Oryzias latipes: one gene and its partners. The main gene of each other region encodes a partner of the protein of the gene in region 4 in a complex. Links are inferred from orthologs where the notes say so. Each region holds a gene or a part of one and is shown on either strand. Other genes may lie near its edges. The genes, in order: timm17a, timm17b, timm50, timm23 and timm21.

What was found.
Region 1: timm23 (region 4) and timm17a share a complex: the UniProt entries of both Homo sapiens proteins name them as parts of the TIM23 complex. The link is inferred for Oryzias latipes from reciprocal best matches to the Homo sapiens genes TIMM23 and TIMM17A.
Region 2: timm23 (region 4) and timm17b share a complex: the UniProt entries of both Homo sapiens proteins name them as parts of the TIM23 complex. The link is inferred for Oryzias latipes from reciprocal best matches to the Homo sapiens genes TIMM23 and TIMM17B.
Region 3: timm23 (region 4) and timm50 share a complex: the UniProt entries of both Homo sapiens proteins name them as parts of the TIM23 complex. The link is inferred for Oryzias latipes from reciprocal best matches to the Homo sapiens genes TIMM23 and TIMM50.
Region 5: timm23 (region 4) and timm21 share a complex: the UniProt entries of both Homo sapiens proteins name them as parts of the TIM23 complex. The link is inferred for Oryzias latipes from reciprocal best matches to the Homo sapiens genes TIMM23 and TIMM21.

What each region holds. Positions count from the first base shown.
Region 1 is NC_019863.2:11,441,053-11,446,026, reverse strand, and holds the start of timm17a (mitochondrial import inner membrane translocase subunit Tim17-A), read right to left. Parts: upstream 3,109-4,974; 5' UTR 3,024-3,108; coding exon 2,998-3,023; intron 1,707-2,997; coding exon 1,607-1,706; intron 1,380-1,606; coding exon 1,316-1,379; intron 431-1,315; coding exon 302-430; intron 1-301. UniProt on the Homo sapiens protein: Essential component of the TIM23 complex, a complex that mediates the translocation of transit peptide-containing proteins across the mitochondrial inner membrane.
Region 2 is NC_019865.2:21,320,414-21,325,415, reverse strand, and holds the start of timm17b (mitochondrial import inner membrane translocase subunit Tim17-B), read right to left. Parts: upstream 3,060-5,002; 5' UTR 3,035-3,059; coding exon 3,009-3,034; intron 1,356-3,008; coding exon 1,256-1,355; intron 1,176-1,255; coding exon 1,112-1,175; intron 954-1,111; coding exon 825-953; intron 745-824; coding exon 634-744; intron 1-633. Other genes in the region: pqbp1 (polyglutamine-binding protein 1), read left to right, coding at 4,129-4,195, 4,276-4,387, 4,512-4,612. UniProt on the Homo sapiens protein: Essential component of the TIM23 complex, a complex that mediates the translocation of transit peptide-containing proteins across the mitochondrial inner membrane.
Region 3 is NC_019871.2:1,071,239-1,074,750, forward strand, and holds part of timm50 (mitochondrial import inner membrane translocase subunit TIM50), read right to left. Parts: intron 2,662-3,512; coding exon 2,557-2,661; intron 2,474-2,556; coding exon 2,375-2,473; intron 1-2,374. UniProt on the Homo sapiens protein: Essential component of the TIM23 complex, a complex that mediates the translocation of transit peptide-containing proteins across the mitochondrial inner membrane. Has some phosphatase activity in vitro; however such activity may not be relevant in vivo.
Region 4 is NC_019877.2:13,786,529-13,791,517, forward strand, and holds timm23 (mitochondrial import inner membrane translocase subunit Tim23), read right to left. Parts: upstream 3,203-4,989; 5' UTR 2,923-3,202; coding exon 2,817-2,922; intron 2,691-2,816; coding exon 2,632-2,690; intron 2,546-2,631; coding exon 2,452-2,545; intron 2,227-2,451; coding exon 2,142-2,226; intron 2,055-2,141; coding exon 1,996-2,054; intron 1,627-1,995; coding exon 1,516-1,626; intron 972-1,515; coding exon 853-971; 3' UTR 377-852; downstream 1-376. Other genes in the region: elastase-1, read left to right, coding at 61-240. UniProt on the Homo sapiens protein: Essential component of the TIM23 complex, a complex that mediates the translocation of transit peptide-containing proteins across the mitochondrial inner membrane.
Region 5 is NC_019878.2:15,517,863-15,522,772, forward strand, and holds the start of timm21 (mitochondrial import inner membrane translocase subunit Tim21), read right to left. Parts: upstream 3,221-4,910; 5' UTR 3,206-3,220; intron 3,097-3,205; 5' UTR 3,075-3,096; coding exon 2,792-3,074; intron 1,658-2,791; coding exon 1,595-1,657; intron 1,464-1,594; coding exon 1,366-1,463; intron 1,257-1,365; coding exon 1,183-1,256; intron 715-1,182; coding exon 609-714; intron 523-608; coding exon 430-522; 3' UTR 1-429. UniProt on the Homo sapiens protein: Participates in the translocation of transit peptide-containing proteins across the mitochondrial inner membrane.

The DNA of each region.
Region 1 (4,974 bases), on a different chromosome or scaffold from region 4:
AGTTTATTAGATGTAATGCCAGTTTTTTTAAAAATACGTTTCTGTGTGGATTTAGCCACAGTCTACATACAGCACAGAGGACCTCCACCAGTACGTTCCTGTTCATGTGCAAACATGGAATTTCACCAAAGTAAAATGATTCTGGTGTGTCTGACCACCTAGATAGCATTCAATGATTTGAATTGGTGCCAATGTTATATAGTTACTGAAATTCTGTATCACTACATGAGCTCCAAGTTAGATCAAGGCAAAATTTCACCTGAAGTTCTGTCTATTTTCAAAAGGGGAAATTTGTACTTACTTCTTGCAGCGAGAATAGCACCAGTCATGGCACCACTTGTTATTGAATTCCAGGGGTCTTCTTTCCCTCTTACTTTTACTAAACCACAGTCAATCATGGAAAAAAGGCCTCCCCACACCGCAAAGCTACCTGCAACACACACCCACAAATAATTACCAACTAGTAACCATCAGTCATCTTTTTTGACAGTATAGCAGAAAATGTTATAAACCCGTTTATGAATATAACCTTGCAAAAAAAAAAAAGACAACCAAAAGTTTAAACACAGTAATGGTTAACAAGCAACGTAAACCAATGAAGATTTGACCTTTTGGTGAAGTTGACATGACTCAAGGGTATTGTTGTTTACATGGTAAACAACCTGCTACCAGAACAGCAGAATAACCCCATCAAAGTCCCACTCCGATCATTTCTTGATCTATTGTAAAAGTGTCCCCAGTGGACTTTTTACTTATAATTATGCAGATTTGAGCAAAAAAAATAAAAGAACATGTCATTTTCTAGGACATAATTTTTGCAGAACAGCAGGAGTTCATTAAAAATTCACCTCCAAGTTCTGCTGGCAGAGTAAGTCCATCCCCACATCCCATCATCCATCCATTTATAGGCTTTCCTGCTAGCTTACAGTCCCTCACAACCCCAACCTAAAATTACCGCTGCAACTAAAATGGCAAGCAATATTGGAGTTTTCCAGCCGTACAGTTTTGAGCCAGATGCCTTTAATCACACCTACAAGCTTTTTCCAACAACATTTTTGCGTCTGCGCCTGATTCACAAAGATTTCGATGTAGAAATACTCAAAATAGAATTTTGAGCCTAATTTTCTTTATATATCCTCCATCTTGGAGAAAGAAGAAAAGAAAAAAAAACACAACACGCATTGTTGTTGTCGATAGCTTAGCTTTTGTTCTATTGGCACTACGCAGGAGGAAAGACAATCACCTGACCGGACCGGGATCGCTCAGTGGAAATGAGACATAAGTGTCGGCACATGTGGAATTTTTTTTGTCTTACCTCCCAGTTGCGGGGCTCTGGTCTTAATGGCAGTTAAACTACCCCTCATCCTGTGGCTCATTCCCTACAAAAAAGACCAGCACAAACAGATTTAAAAAGTGTGAAGAGCAGATAAACACTATAACACCCATCTCGCTGGAAAATATTTAAAGCTTCCTTGAGCGAGTCATTGAACCAGAAGGCCAAGGCTTTCAAAACACTGGCTCTGCCACTACAGGTAGGAGAAAGATAATCACAGCAAACCCATGTGACGGCACACACGTACAGTTCAAATGTCCAAACTGAACTTACCGAGGGTGCGTTTCTGAAGCCCTTTACCGCCTGGAATATCCCTCCTCCAATAGCTCCCATGGTGAATGCTCCACCACAGTCATCCACAATCCTCCAGGGGCTAAAAAACAAAAAACACAGACAAAGCTTAACCTCATGCTGTACTCATGGAGTGCCAGACAACAGACTACAGAACCTAATACGAGTATTTTTAAAATAAACAGCAGGTATTTGTTCGTTAATGAGTTCCAAATATATGGGGGGGGGGGGGGGGGGGGACAAAAACGAATAAATGCATCAAACTTGAGAGAAAAACAAGTCCACAGTAGACATCAATAATTTAGACTTTTTTATTGTCATAACTGGTTAAGAACTAAATGAAACAACTTAAAACTTGAATTGATTTAATTCTGTCTGTGTGTTGGGGTTGGGGAGTGCATCTGCATGCCAGTAAGCTAGCCCAAGATTTACAACGTCTAATTCTAGGAACTTTAGACATTGTTTCATGCATGGACCAAATACCTCAACACCCAGGTCTTAATACCACTGAGACCTTCAGGATGTGCTACAGGAGACTTCATTACAGTCATGCCTATTATCCAAAATGAAACATATTGCAGACCATTAAAACAATGCCAAGAGGAAATAACATGCTATATGTAGAGGACACAGTGCAACTGTGTGTTAAAGAAAAGCTCAAAACCGTCCAAAAAGATATATTTTGTGGAAATCAAGCAAAATTGCATCAAGTTCCATTGTTTTGTCACATCCTAGTTAAATGAGGTGGGAAAAAGACAACTGGTCATGGATCAGCCAAAATATAACAACTTAGTGTCACACTAATGGCAGTAAGGCCTAAGATGGGTTTTTACAGTCCACCTATAGTTAACACAATTTTACGTAGATATGATGGTTTTTTTTAAGTTGATTACAGGATGTCGAAACAAGTGTTTGGGGAATCTAGTAAAACCGATCACTCACAGGTTCGGGTTGACAGCAGTCAGAGTTACAACAACACGGGTCTCATAACAAGTTATACAAATTTTCTCTGAACAACAATGGTGATGTTGGCTTTTTGGTACTTGATGCAATCCGTGTTCTATTTAGTGCAAAGTCAACTACTGTTTTCAGTGAAGTCAGTAGAGTTACATGTGGACGAAATAGCCGACAAGGTCACCAACGTGATTTCACGACCATGCCGGTATGTCGTTAGCGTCAAGCTACCCATAGATTTCAAGGGAGAAATTAGCATTTCGGCTAACACCACTAACTAGCATGCAAGGTTAAGGACTGATAAAGTCATTACAACTGGTGATCAGAATAGGTACTCAAAGTTAAGGAACAAACATGTCTTGTTTTTTAACCAGACAATTAAGGTGATTTAAAAATAAATAAATAAATAAAAAACTCACCACGGCTCTCTCGCATATTCCTCCATTTTGTTCTTTCACCGTGTTCCCCTGAGCGTCCTGACGTAACCTCTTCTTCTTGACGTCACAGAACGTAAACCAATAGTTGAAAGTAATGAGTACCGCCATCTATCGAGCAGACGTGTGGTTGCAGTTTTCTGTATACATTTTTTCCGCTTTTTTTGGTTATTTATAATTCCAGGGAAATAGAAGACAAAAATAAATAACTTACAAAATCTCCAGTTAATCTGTCACTCGTGGACAAACAAATGCCTCACTATTTTTAAGTAAATACTTCTTAATATAAAATGTTTACGTAGTTAAAAATTATAAAAATTTGATAATATGTGTTTGCTTTTGTTTTTTAATAAAAATCTATACTTAATTTTTCACATAATTTATTTATATTAGCTGATCTATTAGCCAATCCTTGGGTGGTTGATGTGGTTTGTGACAATGCTAACATTTATAAATGTGACTGCAGACAGAGTATGAATGATTGTAGAAATTAGTCACAACATCAGAAACATCACAGGTTGGATTTAAAACATGAAGAAGAAGAAAACACTTTGCTGGTGGGAGTAGGATCCTTTCTGAAAATACTCACCAACCCTAACCCTATACATCAAGTGTCCGGGTGTACTCTGTGAGAGCTCAACTACTGAAATGTCAGCTACTTAAAGGCTTTGGAATTGTTTGCCAAAACAAAAAAACAGCCACATGTAGTTCAGAGCAACCAAAAGCTAAACTAAAATAATACACCCAAGATCACACATTGAAAAGCATTTGATTCTTTCAAAGATTAAAACCTTTTCAGACATTCAAGATATTTTACCAGGTTTTAAGTTGTTTGAACTTATTTTTGCTATACACATTCTCAGGAAGAGCAGAGATACAGAAATAAAGAAATAAGTATTAAAATGAATCCAAACTCTTTTGCTCCCTACTCTCGACAAGAGAAAAAACTTGTTTCAAGACTCAAAAAATCTCTAATTACAGTGTCATTTTTGGCTCAATTTTAAAGATTTTATTTTAGAGTTCAATAAATGTTAGACTGGCATTCAGTGTCCTTGTTTTGGAAACTGAGAATTTGATTTACATTCAAACAATTAGAGCTAAATTTTATGAGGATTTGTTCTAAAATGAGTCATTTCTACTTTTTAACTATTTTTTGTCACTGTAATCAAAATGAAATAGAATTAGGTTTATAAAAACTGAAAAAATTAAATCCATTTGCTTAGAACTAGCAAAAAATACTTATTATCGGACCGTACGATATTATTATAAGTTACTCTCTCGAAGTATGCTTATTTTTCTCTTTTTGAATGCTTATGTGGAACAGCTTGTTTCTAGATTTTAACATCTTATAAGTATAAATTACTTGCTGGAGACAATTTTACTAGTTTTTAGTGGTTTTCTTCTCAAGAATAGTGCTCTTTCTGTCTTTTTAGGCTACTTATTTTTGCAGTGCATGAAACTTAATCACTGAAAAGCATCATCTGGGTTCTTTTCCTCCTTTAAATGATATTTTTTACAAAACAGCTTCGATTCTTTTTTCCTCTTTTTTCCCCCCTGGTAAATACCACTGGTGGTCGGGGAGCTGCAGCAGTGCAGAGAGACGGCTGGCATGAAGCCCATTATTAGAAATAGGAAAGGAATGACTTGCAGAGTGAGCTTTCATTGAGAAATGACCAAATATGGGCATTTCATGTGTAAGGACTGAGTTTGGAGACACAACCTGGCCTGCAGCCAGTGCAGCTCCCCTCTCCTCTGTTTCAGGATGACGGCTACCTCGCATGTAGAAACCAACCGTTTCCAAACCGCTTGTGATTTGTTGTCAGCAACAGAAAGAATGCTGCTGTGGATTCAAAGGAGTGGGTCATTTGTACCCAGTGACTGCATCACGTTCTTAATCCAGAAAGGAGGATGATGAATACTTTAAAAATCGAATCTTCTTTTCAAAAAACAGAAATAACTAAC
Region 2 (5,002 bases), on a different chromosome or scaffold from region 4:
GACACGCTGCGAATGACAAATCGGAGTGAACGCTTAAACAATGTGTGTGCGCTCCTTGCGTGCAGCCTGACTAACGTCCTACAGGCAATTCCACATCGCAGGTGTGCAGCATTTGAGTCAGTGTGCACAACCTGCTAATGAATAGAGTGTGGTGTAAGCCAGTCATACGTCACTATCCTTAGAAATACTTCACAAATACAAACTTACCAAACGCATGACAACTGTACATTGCATTTTTAGTGACGTTCCATTAGGTACGAGACTGAAGGGAAACTAAAAGACACATCTGCTCCCCTCAAGGTGCAGCTGATTGTCTCTACGACCCTCCACAGCCCCGAACAAACCAAAAACCAGCATATGACTAAGGATTAACCAAAAAATTCCAGTTTGCAGCCTTCATTTTGCCCTCATCGTGTTTTTTTAACAATGCAAATCACATTTTGCTGATGTAATTTCCCTGGTGTCTTCTGCATTTGCCGCGAAAAAAACTTCAATAGTGTGAATAGGTAACAATAACTAAATGTATACACCAAAGAAAAAGTCAACCTGATTTATATTACTGTAGAATACAAATATGATTTTCAAAAACTCATTTTTGGAAGAATAAAACCACCATTCAAGAGTTTCACTCACGGTTCTGAAACTGCTGTGCAGTGTATCTGGTTAGCAGGATCCCAAAACCCTCGATGAGAGCGAGCAATATTCCTCCCATCATGGCAGAGCCCACCATGGTCAACGGTCCGCCTGAGGAAAGACACCCTGTCCGCTCAATTCCACCAAACACTACGACCCGCTGAGAGTGTGCGGCCCAGACTCGCTCTTACTGCGTGCTGCTAGAACGGCTCCGGTCAGGGCCCCGCTGGTGATGGAGTTCCACGGGTCTTCTTTCCCTCTCAGACGGACCAGACCACAGTCGATCGTGGAGAAGAGCCCCCCCCACACTGCAAAGCTGCCTGCAAAAATGTTCAGGGGAGTGTGAAAAACAAAAACAAGAAGAGAACAGCTCTTATGGCATCTAGGTATAATTTTTCCAATAAAGAGATGAACAGCAAATGACATTGTGGTGAAGCCAGGAAACCTTTTGTTATTAATAAGAGCAAAATCTCCTCACCTCCAATCTGCGGCGCTCTTATTCTCACTGCATTGGCGCTTCCTTTTAGCCTGTGTGCAACACCCTGAAAGGTCAGACTGCTGTTAATTATTATCCTCACAAAACAGGCGCATCAGAGCCAACAGACTTGTGGTTTTAACTCACGGCGGGGGCGTTTCGAAACCCCTTGACTGCTTGGAACACCCCTCCACCAATTGCACCCATAGTAAACGCCCCCCCACAGTCATCCACAATCCTCCAGGGGCTGCAGGAAAGAAGTCAGATCATGAAAAATTACGGACACAGAGGAAAAAAATTGCAGATTGACTCATCAGGATCTGAATGAACCAAAATTAGGCCAAGAAGTTAAAGGTGTAGAACTGAAACAAATAACCTTTTTATTAATTTCTTAGGAAAGCTATCAACGATCCGGCATACTTTCCAGCTTCCACAAGAATTCATCTTTGGATTATATTAACTCCAAATCCCAATTTTAGCTGCAGTATATTATTAAACGACAGATGCAGACATTATTTAAGGTCACACTGAACCTGCATTTTCTTTAACAGCTTTAAAACACTTGTTTAAATAATTAGTCATTGGATTAAGACAGCAAAACAGCAACATATTATTGTTCTTTCTGGTGGCTTACTGCTGCAGGAGGCTCAAATGTTCAAAACAAACAAAGATCTAAATGAGAAGACACAGGCTTTTTCATGCTAACTCTTCTATTTATTCTACTTTGTCACGAGTCAAATGATAAATTAAAGGATTTTCCTCTGATTCTTTTGTCTTATAAACTTAGGGGGTTCTCTCCATTCAGATTTACTCTCTAAAGGCAAAATAATGGATCACAGATCCACAGTGTTTTCTTCTGACACAAGGGGAGTGAATTCTGACTTCCTTTAAGTTCAAAACTAGGAATAACCACAAAGCAGGAACAGATCAGAGAGAAACTGATTAGATCAGAACAGAGAAGAGCCAGAGGTGGCAGAGCTTGTAGCTGCGAGGGGGAAAAAAGGAGGCAGAAGGGAGCGGCGTGGGGCAGCAAGCAGACGGAGCGGCGTGGGGCAGCAAGCAGACGGAGCAGGAGCAGACCAAAAAGAGAAACAAATGATTCTGTCTCCATGTTTTTACTCTGATTGGTTTGTGTGTCTTCCTTTTGTAGACGGTGGGGGATCTTTCTGTTAATCCCTCCAAAAACTCTGAACTCAGAAGTAAATGGGTTAACCATAACAACTATCTAATATCTATAATCAGTTAAATTCAGAAGTGTTATTATCAATCTGGATTATCAATGACTCAATGACAAGCATGTCAGCATTTTGATGAGTTGGGGCAGCTTTAGAGGAGATCTGTGTGCCTGAAGCCCTAGAAGTGTCGACTTTACTGAATTCTAATAAACAATCATCCATCTATGAAATAGTAGACAATGTTAATGATTATTCTTTAAAATGTCTGAAAGTTGTTGAGAGATTTAAACTGCATTTAGGATTTATAGAATAAATGTAACTGTGATCTTAATTGCTATTAAATACCATTATATTCTGTGATATATAAAACATCCATTTCTGCACAAGGATATAAATTGGATGTTTCGGCTTGAAAAACAATAAACAAGCTTACTACCAATTAATTAAAAATGTCACAAAATATGTAACATTTGTTCGCAATATGTTTTAAGCTAATTTAAAGCACTAACAGTAAATGTTGTCGTTTTTCCATAAATTGTAGAAATAATATATTTTATAACCTGCGAAATGTTAGAATTCTAGTTGAAATTAGATTACTTCTCGGTGGTGGACGCGAAACTATTCAACCTGGTCAGGTTTCGTTCAACAAGAGGGCAAAATTGCATAAAAGCCAAAGGACAAACTAATATGTTTAGGTTTTATTCGACAAAAAAAGATAATCTCACCAAGGTTCACGCGCAAACTCCTCCATCTTTCGTGTCGTCTTTTAAGCGCAGTGACGTCATAATCAGGCGCCGGCTCATCGTTCGTTGTGGTGGTCTGTTGATTTTAACGATTGAAATAGTCGTTTTTAAGAACAGGTACAGACTTTCCCCCCTCTTTGTTATTTATATAAACGCTTACTTGGTTAATTGAGTTTCTTATTATAGTTAGGAACTTCAAAATGACGGGATTTTGATTTATTTTAACCGCAGCTGTGAGTTGAGTTCAGAAAAACGGGCCTGGATCATGTTTTCGTGCAGATTATTTTAGCTCTTGAAATATTGTTTCTTTGCTAATTATCGATATTTTAAAACTGACTGAGCTACACTAACCTCAATATTTAAAAGACAAAAAAAACTTAACGTTTGAGAGTTTTAATCAATCGCTCCATAGTAGAACCAGAACCATCGAAATAACTTTCAGAAAAGTCCTGTTTCATTTTTTGAGCTGCTTTGAAATTGAGACAGTTTTGTGTGTGTGTGTGTGCGCGCGCGTGCGTGCGTGTTTAAATTTCGCACCTTATCATAAAATTTTCCTCCAGAGAATTTGTTTAGAAACAGTGAAGAATGGATTTGTTTGCTTCAAATACCTTATCTATACAGGTGCTCTGAATGTACACATCTGTACATCTGGATTTGGTCATAGAACATGTTTAATTTCAGAATTTGGGGTAATGGGTGTCTCTTATGTTGTTGCTTTTATGGGTTAGTTTGAAACGAAACAGTTCTGCCAAATTAAAGCCAAATCAGTTATTTAATTAATTGATTTTTCTATAAAAGTAATATTTTGTATTTGTCAGGTTAAATAAAACATTTTCTTTGCTTTTAAAGCCAGAAGTTGAATTTTATTGATTTAAAGTTCAAGTTTTGCTTTATTTAAATCACTAGTTAGGCAAAAATGTTTGTGAACGAACATAATTAGTTTTGGAATGGAACCTTTATTTTTTTTTAAAAAGAATTTATATTTAATCAAAATTTCTGCAATCCTAACTCCTGTACACAATCGGTGAATTCGTATGTAATCAACTGAAGAATTTGTCAGCATTTGCATCATCATTTAATCCTAACTCCTCTGTGCTTGCAGATGCCTCTACCTCCAGCCCTGCTGGCCCGTTTGGCCAAGAGAGGAATAGTTAAACCTTCAGATCAAGGTAGTATTCTACATCCTCACAGAGCTTACTTTCTGCTTTTTTTCTGAGCTTAAAACGACTTTTTCTCCTCAACAAAACAGAGATAGAGGAGGAGATCATCGCTGAAGATTATGATGACAACAATGTTGACTATGAAGCCACTCGGTTAGAAAATCTTCCCCCAAATTGGTACAAAGTGTTTGACTCGACGTGGTACGTAGAAACGAAGTCGATCAGCTGCGCTGCTGTGTTTGAGTATGATCACTGCGTGTCATTGATCTACCATTGAAATGAAAAGCAATTGCAGCTAAAGTTATTTGTTTTCTTCATTTCCCAGCGGTCTTCCTTATTACTGGAACATTGAGTCCGATCTGGTTTCCTGGCTTTCCCCAAATGATCCGTCAGCGGTTATAATGAAAGCTGCCAAAAAAGCAAAAGGTAAGAATTTGGTAAAGTAGATGACTTTGCTCTGCTTTCATTAAAAATTGTTTTACAGAGTTCATAAAATGTCCAAAATATTGGATTTTTACTTTTTGACAAGGGTATGAGGAAACAAAAAAAGAACATGAAGAGCATGAATGTGTAATAAACTCTCATATAGCTAAAGTTTATCCATCTTTATATTCAAACTTTGTTTGTCATGCTACTCAGATAATGATTGTTTTCTAAAACCTCAAAGATGTGGATTTCCTTTTGATTTTTATATTATTTTTATATTATATATATTATATTTACCGTAAATTCCGGGTTATAAAGCGCACCCGATCACAAGCCGCACCCACCTATTTTAACGTGCTTAAATATTTTTGTACATACACAAGCTGCATC
Region 3 (3,512 bases), on a different chromosome or scaffold from region 4:
GAAGACATCTGTCTCCCTTCAGACTGTTTGTTTCTGCTTCTGAGGAGGTCGGAGCTCCTCCGATCCTCCTCGGATCTTCTGGGAATGACGTAAGCTGATCCAGGGGGAGGAGCCTCATGACGTTCAGGGAAAACGGTTCTCAGAAAATGGAAATACTTTTGGTCCAAACCCTTCATCAGAGGCTGAAACACGCCATATGACGATTGGACAGACACTTGTCATGAATCTGCCACGCCCCTTTTTAACAGAAGCACCGCCTCCATACAAGTATCTGATCATCAGAGGTAAAAATAAATGTTAAAGGCAGTGGGAACATCTTCACATTCTGACCTTTAACACTGGGTGAATGAGGAGCCACTTGAAGGAGAAACAAACCCCCTAGTGGTCACCCAGAGAACTGACCTGCTTCCATTTTTTAGCCCTTAAAACAGCCTAAAATTAGGAAGCGTTTCCTTTCAGTTGGGCTGAAGAGACAAAGATTTAAACGCCAGGTCTTTCTTTGAGTTTATTAATCATCAGCGTTATATAAATTAACCTAAAGGACGGCTGCCATGGTGTTTACATTTTAGTGCTTTTTAAAATACCTTCTTATCATCCGACAGTTTATGTGAGTGCCGCACCCCCTGATCTTAGATGCAGCTGCTAAGATCAGGGGGTGTGGAAGCTGCTTCATATGCAGCTAAAAAAGATGAAGCAGCTGAAGCATCTGAAGCAGATGAAGCAGCTGAAGCAGATGAAGCAGATGTTTGCTGCAACTCGGTGGAAGGCAACTCCATTGACATATAGTCACTTAACCCTTGTGCTATCCTATGCGGTCCAGATGACCCCCCCCCCCCCCCCCCCTCATATTGACATGTTCTCCCTACCATGACAAAGGTGGATAAAGGTGGAAAGATTTCATGTAATCCATGGACACCAGTGAAGATCACAAATCATTGAAGAAAAAAGGTTCAGAGCACTGTCTAGTGGGTCTAGATGACCCAACTCCCAACATTAAAGTGCCTAGGAAGCACAAGGGTTAAACCCATGTCTGGCTCCTACAATGGCCGGCTGCCCTCCAATCACTTCCCCAAACCCGTCCAATAAAAATCTAATCTGTCCGTTTTTTTGCAGCTTAAAAACAGTCAACCAATAATCAGACGTCTGATCCCCTTCAGAAGTGGGCCACTGAACAATGGCAGCGGGCGGAGGAAGGGTCGGCTCTGGTTAATGAGGGGAAGTGACCCCCCCCCCCCATCTTCCTCACCGACCACTGAAAGCCACAAACCGTCTCAGAGGACGGGAGGATCCGAAGCGGCATCGGGACTCTCCTCCAGCATATGGAGCTTCAACCCTCAGCGTCTGCTGCAGAGGAAGACCTCGCTGGGAACTGGGTTAAACTGCTGCCAGCAGACTGCTCCTCAGCGGAAAACAACAGTTGGAAGCGCTCAGGAGGAGGACGAGGGAGGAAGAGGGAAAGCTGGGGGTGGAGGGGGGGAGGCGCTGATGTAGGAGGAGCGGAGAAAGTGACTGGGAGGAGCCAAGGGGAATAAAGTTTCCTCAAGAAGCAAACCAGGTGACTGACTTTTGGAGACAAAAATGCTAATTATGCTGAATTCTAGATAAATGTTGAGCTATTTAATAAAATGTTCACTGCAAAAGATTATGAATGTAGGACAACCTGGGCTAAAAAAACACTAACTCCTAAATAAAGAGGCTGGAAAAGTCTAGAAGAATAGATGAAGCCTTAAACCATAAAAAAAAGATTTAAAAAAAATACTAAAAATGCAAAATTATGAAATTGTAATCAAAAGGGCAGAGAGAAGCTGAAAATCTTAAATCGGGTGAAAAACTTTGATGAAATAAGCTAAAGACGACATAAACGCACTATAGTGAATTCTGTCAAATCATTTCTTGTCCCGTTGCAAACAAACCAACCTCCACCTTCTCTTCTTCTTCTTAGTCTTTGTTTTCTTTTCATTATCAGCGGTTGGCATCAGTGTGATGCTGCATACCAATAAAGTGGATCTTCAAAAAGCAAACACAGAAGTGATTAACTCTGGTAATTAATTGTTATGGGACCAAATCATTGAACATGACAGCAGAATACAAATGTAGAACAGACAGGAAAGTTGTGAAGTAACAGAAATGCTAATCAAAGGTCAAAGGAATCCAAATTCATTTAGGAGTTTCCAGAACAGAAGAAGAAAGCGGAAACAACCGTCAGGCGTGTCTGCTTTGGCGCTGCGCCTTCAATGAGACACTTTGAAAAGGTAAATGAAACTTTTCAGAAACTCTTCTGTTTCTGGGTTTTAAAGGGTGGTTGGCATCGTGACGGTCCAGCGACCGAAGCAGAACCAACCAACCGACTGATCGGCGCTCTCAGGAAACCCACCTTCACGTGATGGCCCTCCATGTAGCGCGTGGCGTCTCTGAAGAGGCGGTACATGACGAAACCCTGCGGGTCGATGCTGTCAATCAGGGGATACGCCGTCTGAGGAGCAGAGCATCATCAGCCTCACCCCCAACCAAACCAGCCTCCTGGTTCCTCTGGAAGAACGTGGAGCAAACGCTCACCATGCCGGTTTCGGCGGTGAAGATGACGATCTCGTAGTACTGCATCAGCTGCTGGAACAGGTAATCGATGCCCGGACGTTTCTTAAAGCGCCAACCCGTCGACAACTGGACTCACAGACAGAGAGAACACACAACCGCCGGGTTACAACAGCTTCTCTGCTGATCTGGGTCATGAGGCGTTCAAATGAACCCAAAGTCCTGGTCAGAGAAACCAGCGGTGAGTTCATGGACCTCAAAGACCGAAGTCCTTGAGAAAGATGACAGAAATACTTTTCCTGTGAGGCTGCATGTTTGAAACCAAAATTCCTAAAATTCAAAACCAATAATAAAAAAAAAACCACACAACACACTTTGGGAGGAAACCTGTAATTCTGAGACGGATTAGAAACAGAAGCACTTGTGGGTCTAATCCTCCTCCATCAACATCTGCTCTGTTGTTTCCTCATGAAGCTTGGTGTTCAACTATTTATGAGTTTCTTTATGGCTTTGCTTTCAGACTTTTATGATGAGCTAGAAGTTTGAGTTCTGCAGCGGTTCAGGAAGTTCTTCATTGGTTCCTTTGAATCCATTTAGTTCTGAGCTCCGGCCCCAAACGCCAACCTCTGACTGCTGTCGTAGTCCTTCTGACAGGTTCAGAATTTAACCATGAAACGTCGTTGTTAATGCCTCGTTATTCCCTATGAAGGGGTGATGATCTGAACAATTTTAACGTATAAAACGTGAAAAGAAAGCAGCAAGCACCCTCAATGCCCCTCCATTACCCCCCATATTACCCCCCCCTCATTGGCTGAGCGGCAGCTAACGGCGGCACATGGACTACAGTGTGAGCACAGACCGCCGGGGGGTCTGACGGGCTTTGGACGGCCGCCGTGGTTGTCTGAGGTCCGTGTTCTCCTACGTGAAGCTTGGTTGTGTTTGACCTCAGCGCTTCATTCCCCTTTCAGTGATGTCACCAC
Region 4 (4,989 bases):
CCACTGGTGATGTTCAGACCAGGAAAAGTACCTTCACTGTTTTCTTTCCTCCTCTCCCAGGGCGACTCTGGGGGTCCTCTGCTCTGCCAGCTGGACCGAGACCGCTGGGAGGTGCATGGAGTGGTGAGCTTCGGCCCCATCGGCTGCACCGTTGAGAATAAACCCAGCGTGTTCACCCGCACAGCCACCTACATCCCATGGATTGAGGCGACTCGCATCAGGGACTTTTTCCTGCACTGAACCAACTCAAAGTTTCCTCCTGTTCTGCAGAAGACACTTCCTGATGTAAATGCAGCTTCGCAAAATCCCTTTTGTTACTCTTTGTATTTATCTGTCTGCATCCCTTTGAGGTATAAAAACAATATAAACAAAAAAGAAACATTTATGGTTTTATTTTAGTTCATAATATATGTTCCAATACAGCTTTTGATGATTCTCACTGCTTTATAATACATCAATTAAAAAAAACGGATAATAAGGCTTTGATCCGAGTTTGGAAATCACAAAGAAGCCATGACAAAAACAGGATTCCCCCTCATCCGTCATCCGTTTAATGATTTTTAAAACCTAGCATCAAAGACTGAAAAGGCTTCAAAAACAACCTTATAACAAATAATAAACCCTGACGTGGGATTCTAAACAGAACAGTAATAGAACATAACAAGATAAACACAAAAATGTGGAATTGAGTCCATGTTTTTCCTTAACTTATTTTACAACCATCTTCAGACTCCCAGAATGCTCGTGGGTTTCTTGGTTTCCTTCCTTTAGGAGTTCCCTGCAGTCTGTGGCTGAAGGCTGCGTCCTCCATCCACATTTTGACCTCAAGTGACGAAATGAGGACATGGGAGTTTAGTATAGTCGCGAGGATGAGGAGGAGCCGGTGAGATGGTCCCAGTTGTTGTAAACGGCATAAGCTCCAGACAACGCCAAACCAAGCAGGCCTCCGCGGGCTGCACCCTTCAGTCCGCCTGAGAGCACAGAGAAAAGAAAAAAAAGATCCCAAATACTGAGGACCTCAGAAAATATTTCACTAAAGAAGATAATCAGGACTATGTACAAGTAAAAAGAAATTTAAATAATCTGCAATAATTTTATTCATTTGAGTTCTAAAAACCTAAAATAATGTTTTTTAATAACCCTGTAAATGTTTTAAGCTTTACATTTTACGGATATAAAACTCATCCCCACACTTTTCTGAGACAGACATGAACATTTTCACACTTTTTTTTTCTTGTTTAAACTCAGAAATTCAAACCTTCGTGAAAAATGAATCATAGAATGAAAACAAAGATCTGAGCATGAGGATAGATTTATGAAGCTTTGGAAAGCTGCACTCTGGACAGGAGACACAGCATGGAAGAGATTGACTGACAAGGTCTACAGCCAATCGGGACGCAGAACACAATGTGCACAATTGTGCTTAAAAAATCCAGGAAACAGCTTCAAGGTGAATCTAGCGAGGGAACGCTGTACCACAAAACAAATTGGATTCATTAACAGAAAAACACCTACTTGCAGATTTAAAGAGCATTCCTGTTAATGTGCCGGCAGCCATTGTGTTGATGTCATCCTCTGCTCCTCTGGCCTTCTCTATCGCCACACCAAAAACACTGTACAACAAGGCTAAAAAAATAAAGAAATACATATTAAAACATCATCACAGATGTTCTAGCTTTCTTTCCTGAACCTCTGAAGAGATTAACCTTGAGGTGGTGACTCTACTCAACAAAAGAACATGCATGACGACTACAGAAAAAGTATCAGAAAGCAGCTAAACAAAAGAATTCTGTCCCTCCCTAAGCAGGGACATCTTGAGTAATAATGTAGCCACACAGAAGGCCATATTTAACAATGCCCACACTTATTTTGGCTGCATTTTACTAAAAATTTCTAATGATTTGATGGGAATATTATCAAAAAGACATTCAAAAATGACAGGAGGCAAAGAAATATGAAAGCGTAAAACCCCCAAGCTCTAACTGTAAGTCTTACCAACAGAGCCTAGAGAGTTGGCCCATGATCCCCCTTGTCTGGTTACCATATTAAGAATTCTGATGGCAAAACAGGTACAAATTAGAAGAAAAAAGGCGCATTTTTGGGTGCAAAACGAATTTGTAGCCTGCTCTCTGTTAACTTACTGAACATTTCGTGGTTTGGACCACGTCATATCTCTGGTCTCCTTCAGACCCATCCTAAGACCGTTGATGGCTCCCAGGGCAGCTCCTGCAGTGAAAAAAAGCAAGAAATTAGTATTGTTAAGTAATTAGGGAGTTTAAAAACTATGATGATGGTTTTGTTTTTGTTTTGTCTTTTTTTACCAAAAGAGGTCAGAAGAATAGAAATGAAATTAAATCTAGATGGCTGGTTAATGATGGGGTTCTGTATCTTATTTTCGTTACTGTACGTGCCCCAAAGTCGTTTTTAATGTAAAAATTTAAGGTTACTCACCTGTCATACAGGAACCTCCAATGGTGAAGAACGCCAGCTCAAACCTCCCCCTAGTTTTATTAGCCCCAGTGGGTAAAATGAACTCATCTGTGTCCTATAACACAAACATTTTGACAGTTAGAGCCGCCAAACATGATGATACACACAAAAGCACCAACCAACACTAATGTTTAAACGTACCTGAACCAGGTATCGAGGGTCCACGTTGAGGTAAGGGGACAGGGGACTCATCCCAGTCACTGAAAATCAATGACAACATAAACTATAATCGATTAAGTCCTTAATTGATCCTGTAGTTTTTTTGGTTCCTTCCTCAGGAATGAGAGCAGCTATCTAGCAGTACATCAAGTTTACACAATACTTACGCGGAACTCCAGCCAGCTCTGTATTGGAGTATTCTGGGGCACCCCCTCCAAAAATACTTCCGAGACCTCCTTTAAATCCCCCAGATCCTTGTGAATTATTATCCATGGCTGTGAAGTTAAAGGGTCAAGTGGAATAGGGAGTCGAGCCTGTGCGGCTAACGTCGTTAGCACTATGTTAAATTATAAAGCTTTTTATTCAGAAGCGCAGCCAGGATCCACCTTCACTAAAATAAAACATCTATAAAAGCTTATGCTGTACCTCCGATAAATTTTAAGAACGCAAAATCAAATCGAACTCGTGTTTTACTGCTCAGAACTCGCCTTGACGTCATGCCACTGACCTCCAACAGCATGCTCTGCCGTAAAGTGATCACCGGCGTCGCACTCATGTTACGTCCAATATCAAGTCCTGAAAAATGAGAGAATTTTCTCTCAACTTCGTCAAAAATTACTATATTAAATTAATTCACTCAAAATATTATTTAAACTAATTATATTTGATAATAACTTTGGTAACATTTGAGAAAAACAACCAAAGATTTTACGACAGGCTCTCTCTCTGCTTTGAAACAGCAATTCAAAATAAAAAAACTTTATTTGTAGATAGACACTTGACAAATTATACAATCTCTACTTCGACAATTTATAGTTTTATTTATAGTTTCTTTAAATTAGGTACGTGATAAAAACAACAACGAAAAATAAGATTTATGTTATAAGTGACTTAAATAACAACAATAATAAACAATAATAATAATAATAATAATAATAATAATAATAATAATAATAATAATAATAATAATAATAATAATAATAATAATAATAATAATAATAAGTGATTGCTGCTGCGGGCCATAATAATAATAGAAATTAGAATGTTTTTTTTTCTTTTTTGTTAAAAAGTGTGGGTTCTGGGGGAAATCAAACAAAATTGTCTTCAAAAAAAGATTCAGTGGGTTTGAAAAATGGATGGATGGATGGATTACTGACATATTTAAATGCACATTAAATGCATACTTAAATTTAAAGTCCCCAAATCTTACAAAAATAGTTGGAAATAGTTGGATGTTGTCAGAGTTTCTCAGTAAAAGACAGATTATACAGAAATGTATGCAGATATTTCATTCGGAATTTTATTTATTCACATTAAGTTTTTTTTCTTTGTAAACTAGTCTAAAAACACTTCTGACCATAATAAATCAAAATATTTTTTGTGTGTTTTTTTTTAATCACACTTAAATGACAGACTAAATCCAAAATGAAACTGAACTCACCAGAAAATTAAACAATGAAAAAAGTTGAGGCTGCATGGTGGTGTAGCCGTTAGGCTGTAGGGCATTTAGTAGATTCAGAAAATGGATAGATGTATGAACAATTTGGATATTTGTCACATTATAGGTGCTGCTGACTCTTAAAAACAAAAGAATAGATACAACAATGTGACAGATCATACCGCAGATATCACAAAATTCAGGCTAATGTGCATGCTTTAGGTGGCAGTAAACGCCACAGTCTGATTGTGAAGTTATTTCAATAGTGTGAACATCTATTTTGCTAAGACGATATTAAAAACAACGATGCAATAATGAAATATTCTAGAAGGTCCTAATATTTTTACAGGAAAATGGGTAAGATTTTCACGATGCCTGTTCAGTTTTGATAAAATTCTTAGAAAAACATGTGAACTTTCAATGTGACAAAGTGTTTGAAAATTACAAAAACAAAACTATTTTACATACTGAAGGAATGGTGGTACCAATGGCATGACAATATGCCAAAAGTGTGTTGACGTTTCACACTGGATGGGGTCGCATTGAAGGTTTTTGTGTTAGTCCAAGGGTTATTAGGCCAGAAAAATTATTGAATGAAAAAAGGAAAGAAGAACTTTGGCTCCTTTTTGTTCCGTTAGAATGTTACCTGTCTGTCTGATGAGACAGGATTATGTGACAGCAAGTACAAATAGACCAAGAATCACAATAATAGAACCAAAAGTTTTACAGGGCAAGAAAAACAAAATTTCCCAAAGAAATGTTGTTGGTGAATTTGTTTGCAGAACCTAGCAGACAATAAGTAACTTAATGTTTAAAGTTACAATCCTTACCAAAGTATTTCACATACCATAAAAGAAGAATGATTTAAATCACAATGTAAACATTGTTTTATTAAAAAAACA
Region 5 (4,910 bases), on a different chromosome or scaffold from region 4:
AATACTAAATTCTGCAGCTCCATCTGGTGATTCTTTTTTATTCACATTTTTACATGTAAAACAACAAAAAAGGATAAAGTAAGTTTGAATGGAGTAAAACATCCCCTACATTTAAAAGCAAAATTTGATCAAATTCATGTTTTATAGCATATTAGTTCTGTAGAATGTGATCATTTGTAAAAGCATACATTTATCTTCAAAAAAATATCTCTGTATGTTCTATTTACAAATTACTATTGTATTTTCATTAACACTGCGATAGAGAAGCTTTCTACCAAATGCTGAGAAATAATTTTATTAACCAATCCATTTCTTAAAATTTCACAATAATATATTCAGGAAAAAGCCATTTATTTAGTTCACAGACATGAAACCCTGCTTTACAAGTGCAAACGTCTTGACTTGTCCCCTGAGTGTCAGAAAAGCTCCTCATCTGTTGTCCTCCACAACAATAGTCCGTCTCGGGTAGGTATCTATTTCTACAAATACATAACGGAATTCATACTTTCCAGTTTCAAGATTCTGCAAAACAACAAGGATACCATTATCTCAACTGATCAAAAAATCCACACAAGAAACAACAGGTTTCCATTTAAATAAAGACTTACCTCTTTAGACTCTGAATGCACCGTCCCTTTCAGGCCCGGCTCCGATCCCTCAATGTAAAACTTTAGTCTCATGTGCTTAAGTCCATCCTTTACATACTCCACGTGACTGAAGTGGAAATATGAGAATAAGGAATAAAAAAACTCCAACAATAACATATATATGTAATAACCTTAACATTTTGTAACTCCATTCTTCCAGAGCTCCAGATTCTCAGATGCTTACAATAAATCAGCACGAATACCACGTTAGCTCTTCAAAAGACAATAAAAACTTTTATGTTTCATAGCTGTGGGGTCTGAAACTAAATTCTCCTTCATGACAAGTTTTGCATAAACGTTGAAGGAAATTCAATGCTGCTGAAAATATGATTTATAGCTGATGTTCACAGGTTGTGATTCTGAAAGGAAGTCCTTCAAATCCTGCAAAAGCATTTCCTCTAAAACTAAAGGCAGCTGCTTGTTATGCCAAGTTTGATCAGATTTACTGTATTCTATACCATGAATCAATGAATGCTAAAGCAACATTTTGCAAGTAAGAAAAAGTTCAATAAGATAAGATAAAGTGTCAACACACCTGACTTGCTGCCTTCTCCCTCGGCGGGTGGTCTCACCGTAACATTTAATTGGTTCTCCAAATGCCCCAATAACCTGCAATTGATTATGTATTTCTTACTTTTATTTTGGAAAAACAATGATTTCTAGCCATTTCAACAGTAAAAAAATATTGATAGGAGACGCCGTCTGGCTTGATTTTTACCTCTGGGTGCGACCTGACTTTGTCAAAGGCTCTGCTGTAGACTTTATTTGGGCTGGTAGAGGAAAACAGCTCTTGGAACACCACATATAACAGCCCCCCTGACCAACACAGCAGAAAACTGCAGCTGATTATTTAGGTTGTGTGTTCTGGGACCAAATAAATAAATATATAAACAAGCAATGTGGGATTGTTGTGTAGCCATTCCTTGGACTCGTGCAGTTCAATTCACCTGTTACTCCAAGCCCGATGAGGACCACGATCAGGTAGGTGAAGTCTCTCCCAGCATCTTTGACTGAAAGACAAACAGAGCAGAGGCTCTTGAGTGGCCAATGCATAGTGGAAGAGTTTAGATTTATAAGCAAAATTTAACCCAGAGTGAAAATATTCCAGGTTTGATATAAAAGGAAACTGTGTGTCTGTGCAGACGGGTAGCTCTATTAGACTGCGGCTATAAGAGATGACAAGAGGAGGAGGAACTCATCAACATAACGTTAGGTCTGGCCCTCTAGTATGCCCCGAGGTATTATGATGACAAGTCCTAAAGATCTTTAGTTAGTTAGTTTCTGCAGAGCAGCAGTAGTTCAATAGAAATTGACCACTGTGCTGTTGGCGTGGAGCAAGCCTGCTCCACTTCCCATCACCAACCTATTACCCGCTCCCCCTCACACCCCCAACCTAACGTTACCAGAGTTAGTAATTACTTCATTACTTTAAAAATAATGACATAAAAATAGAATAAAGGAGCAAATTCTTGGTCTGGAATATATATATTCCAATGCTGGAATAAATGCAAAATGAAATATATCCATTGATTTGATGAATTAATGCAGAATTTATCTTCAAGATTAATTTGGATTTTCTTTTCTTTTTTCAATAAACCTTGTTCAATTGGATTTGGCATTGCTTATTTCAAGCAACCAAAGCAAAAACAATGCTGAAAACTACACAATCAACATCCATACAAACTAAGATGTATCAAACATAGAATATTTAGTCATTTAATTAAAGATGGCTTGAAAGGGAGTGGAAGGAAGCAAACTTATCAAACTTAACATTTTCTTTACATGAAGTATCCGGTTCATAACTTCTAAGCGGATATTTATACCTTACCAACACAGTTTCAGGTCATTAAGAATCTTTAGGTATCAATAAATCACATGAAAAAGATGAAGTACATAAAGTGAGTGAATGAGGTATAGACTAAAGAGGGCCCAGAACAGAAACCTGAGGAACACCACAGGAAAGGGAGTAGGAGTTATTACTTGCCAAGAAACTTTGAAAGCAGCTTTGGTTGTAAGAAAACAAAATGGGCGGTCCTAAAACAAGATTTTTAGTTTTTTCTAAATAAAATAGTAGCTTTAAACCCCATTTAAAGAGACAAGACAGTAAATATGCGTTTAGTTGCACAAATCTGAAATGGGCATACCTTTCTGAGCAGAGGACACTTTAGGACTCTGGTAGGCAGAAACAGACCTGTGCTTCTCCTCCTTGTTTCTGAGGATAACGTGAACAGAAAAGCGTCTTCGTGTTTGACAGAGACAGCTCAGGGCGGACACAGGAGCCTCTGACCCACGGACGGACAGGCCGGGGATGACCGCTCCTGCTCTGCGTGTGAACAACAGCACGCCAGCCTGCTGCACGGGGAGAAATGTTTTCCCGGAGCTCCGCACACTTTGTTGCACGGCTTTTAAAATGTGCGTGAAAGACATTATTTTATCCGACGGACAATATCTGAAAAAAAGAAAAGAAAACAGCAGCTCATCTACTGAAAATAAGAATCAAATAACAGCGGTCTTTCATGGTAACATGGAATTGCAATGCTGGAAACCGCCATTCAGACCTCTGATTCACTGACCTGCTGGGTCGATCAGACGTCGAGGATTTTCTAAAGATGGCTACTGCCCCCTTCTGTCCCGGATGTCAAACTGCAGCCTTATTTGTGGTCTGGGGCTTTTTTGACCTTACGTCGTATTTCGCTTTATTGATTTATCTTCAAATCGGTTTTTGCGGCAATGCTTGATTTCCATCCTCTTTTTAAAAACCCACACTTCGTTTTACTGATTTTGTTTTCATTATACTGCACAATAACTCCACAATGAAGTTGAAACTGTCCAAAAAAGTCAATTCTGAGTGATAAATGTGGTCTTTTTTCTGCTAAAGATTCAAGATTCAAGAATTCTTGAAAAAAGACCACATTTTTTAGCAGAAAAAATGTGGTCTTTTTTCTGCTAAAACAATGATTAAAAAATTGAGATCAAACAGTTTTTATGTTTTATAACAAAGGTAAAACGTGTTGAGACAAAACAAAGTTATAAATCCAAAAAAACAAAACATGCAACAATTTAGACATACTTAATTAGAAGCAGAGTTTTTTCAACATAAAAATAATTCACTTAAGGTTTCAAACTTATTGACTTGGTACTTAGGATTATGTAAATACTTTAAATAGACCCTTAATTAATACAAGTTTTTTTTTTAATTACAGGTATAATTTATTTTAAAAGGATCCTTTCATGTTGATAAAAAATGAAAGGAAAACAAATTACTGCTCACTACAGCATTACTGGCTAAGGACTTAAATGCACAGCAGACATGAATATGTATTTGCTGAATGGCTGTTTGAGTCAGCACTCCCACAAATTTCAGAAACATCTGATAAATGCATATATTTTCTTTCCTATTTCAATTAAAGTTGCACTTTCCTGAAAGCAAATCCACATGATTGAGATTTTATAACAATGTTATTTAGTGTCTTTGTGATTATCAATTACATTTTTGGGGCTGCTTGAAGTTGATTTATTCCGAAACAATATTCCTGTCTGTTTTTATTCAAATTTTTGTTCAAAATAAGTTTAAAATGTTTGAAAACGTATCTTTAATGTGTTCACTAAATGTTTATCCTGTTCGGCCCACAACCTGGACCCCTGTGCAATTGAGTTTGACACCCTTGTAATACGAGTATATAAAATTCTTACATTTGTGTTGATTTTTGTGTTAATTAAAAATAGGGAACACAAAACGATGTGGTCAATGTGGGTGTGGGGGGGGTTGTAAGTCAGTGTAGAACTGCCACTGAACAAAATATTTCCATTGTCACACCAGCTTCCTTCTTCCTCAGGGGATTGGTCAAATACAAAACTGGTCAATTTGTAATATAATCTATAATAAAGCAAGAATAAATAAATAACAAACACAGATTTTGTTTTAATTTTCTGGCTACTCTTGTTGGGGATCACCACAAAATCCTCCCACGTCGTTTGGCTTCAGTTTTACAGCGGATGGCGTCTTGGACTCAACCCTCTGCCTTTACCCAGACTCGGGACGGGTTTGTGGAAATGCTGAAGAGTGGCCCCATGTTGTCGCATTTGAAACTCAAATAAGAGAAAAACGTTGCCACACAATAAAAGCGGTAAATATTAGTTTATTTAAAAGATTCAGTCCAGCATTTTCCCAATATGTTATCAAATAAATGTCCAAACTGAGTTTTAAAAAATCCTCTGCATCACAAACATTCAGAATAAACTGTTAGTAAAATGCAAAAAAAA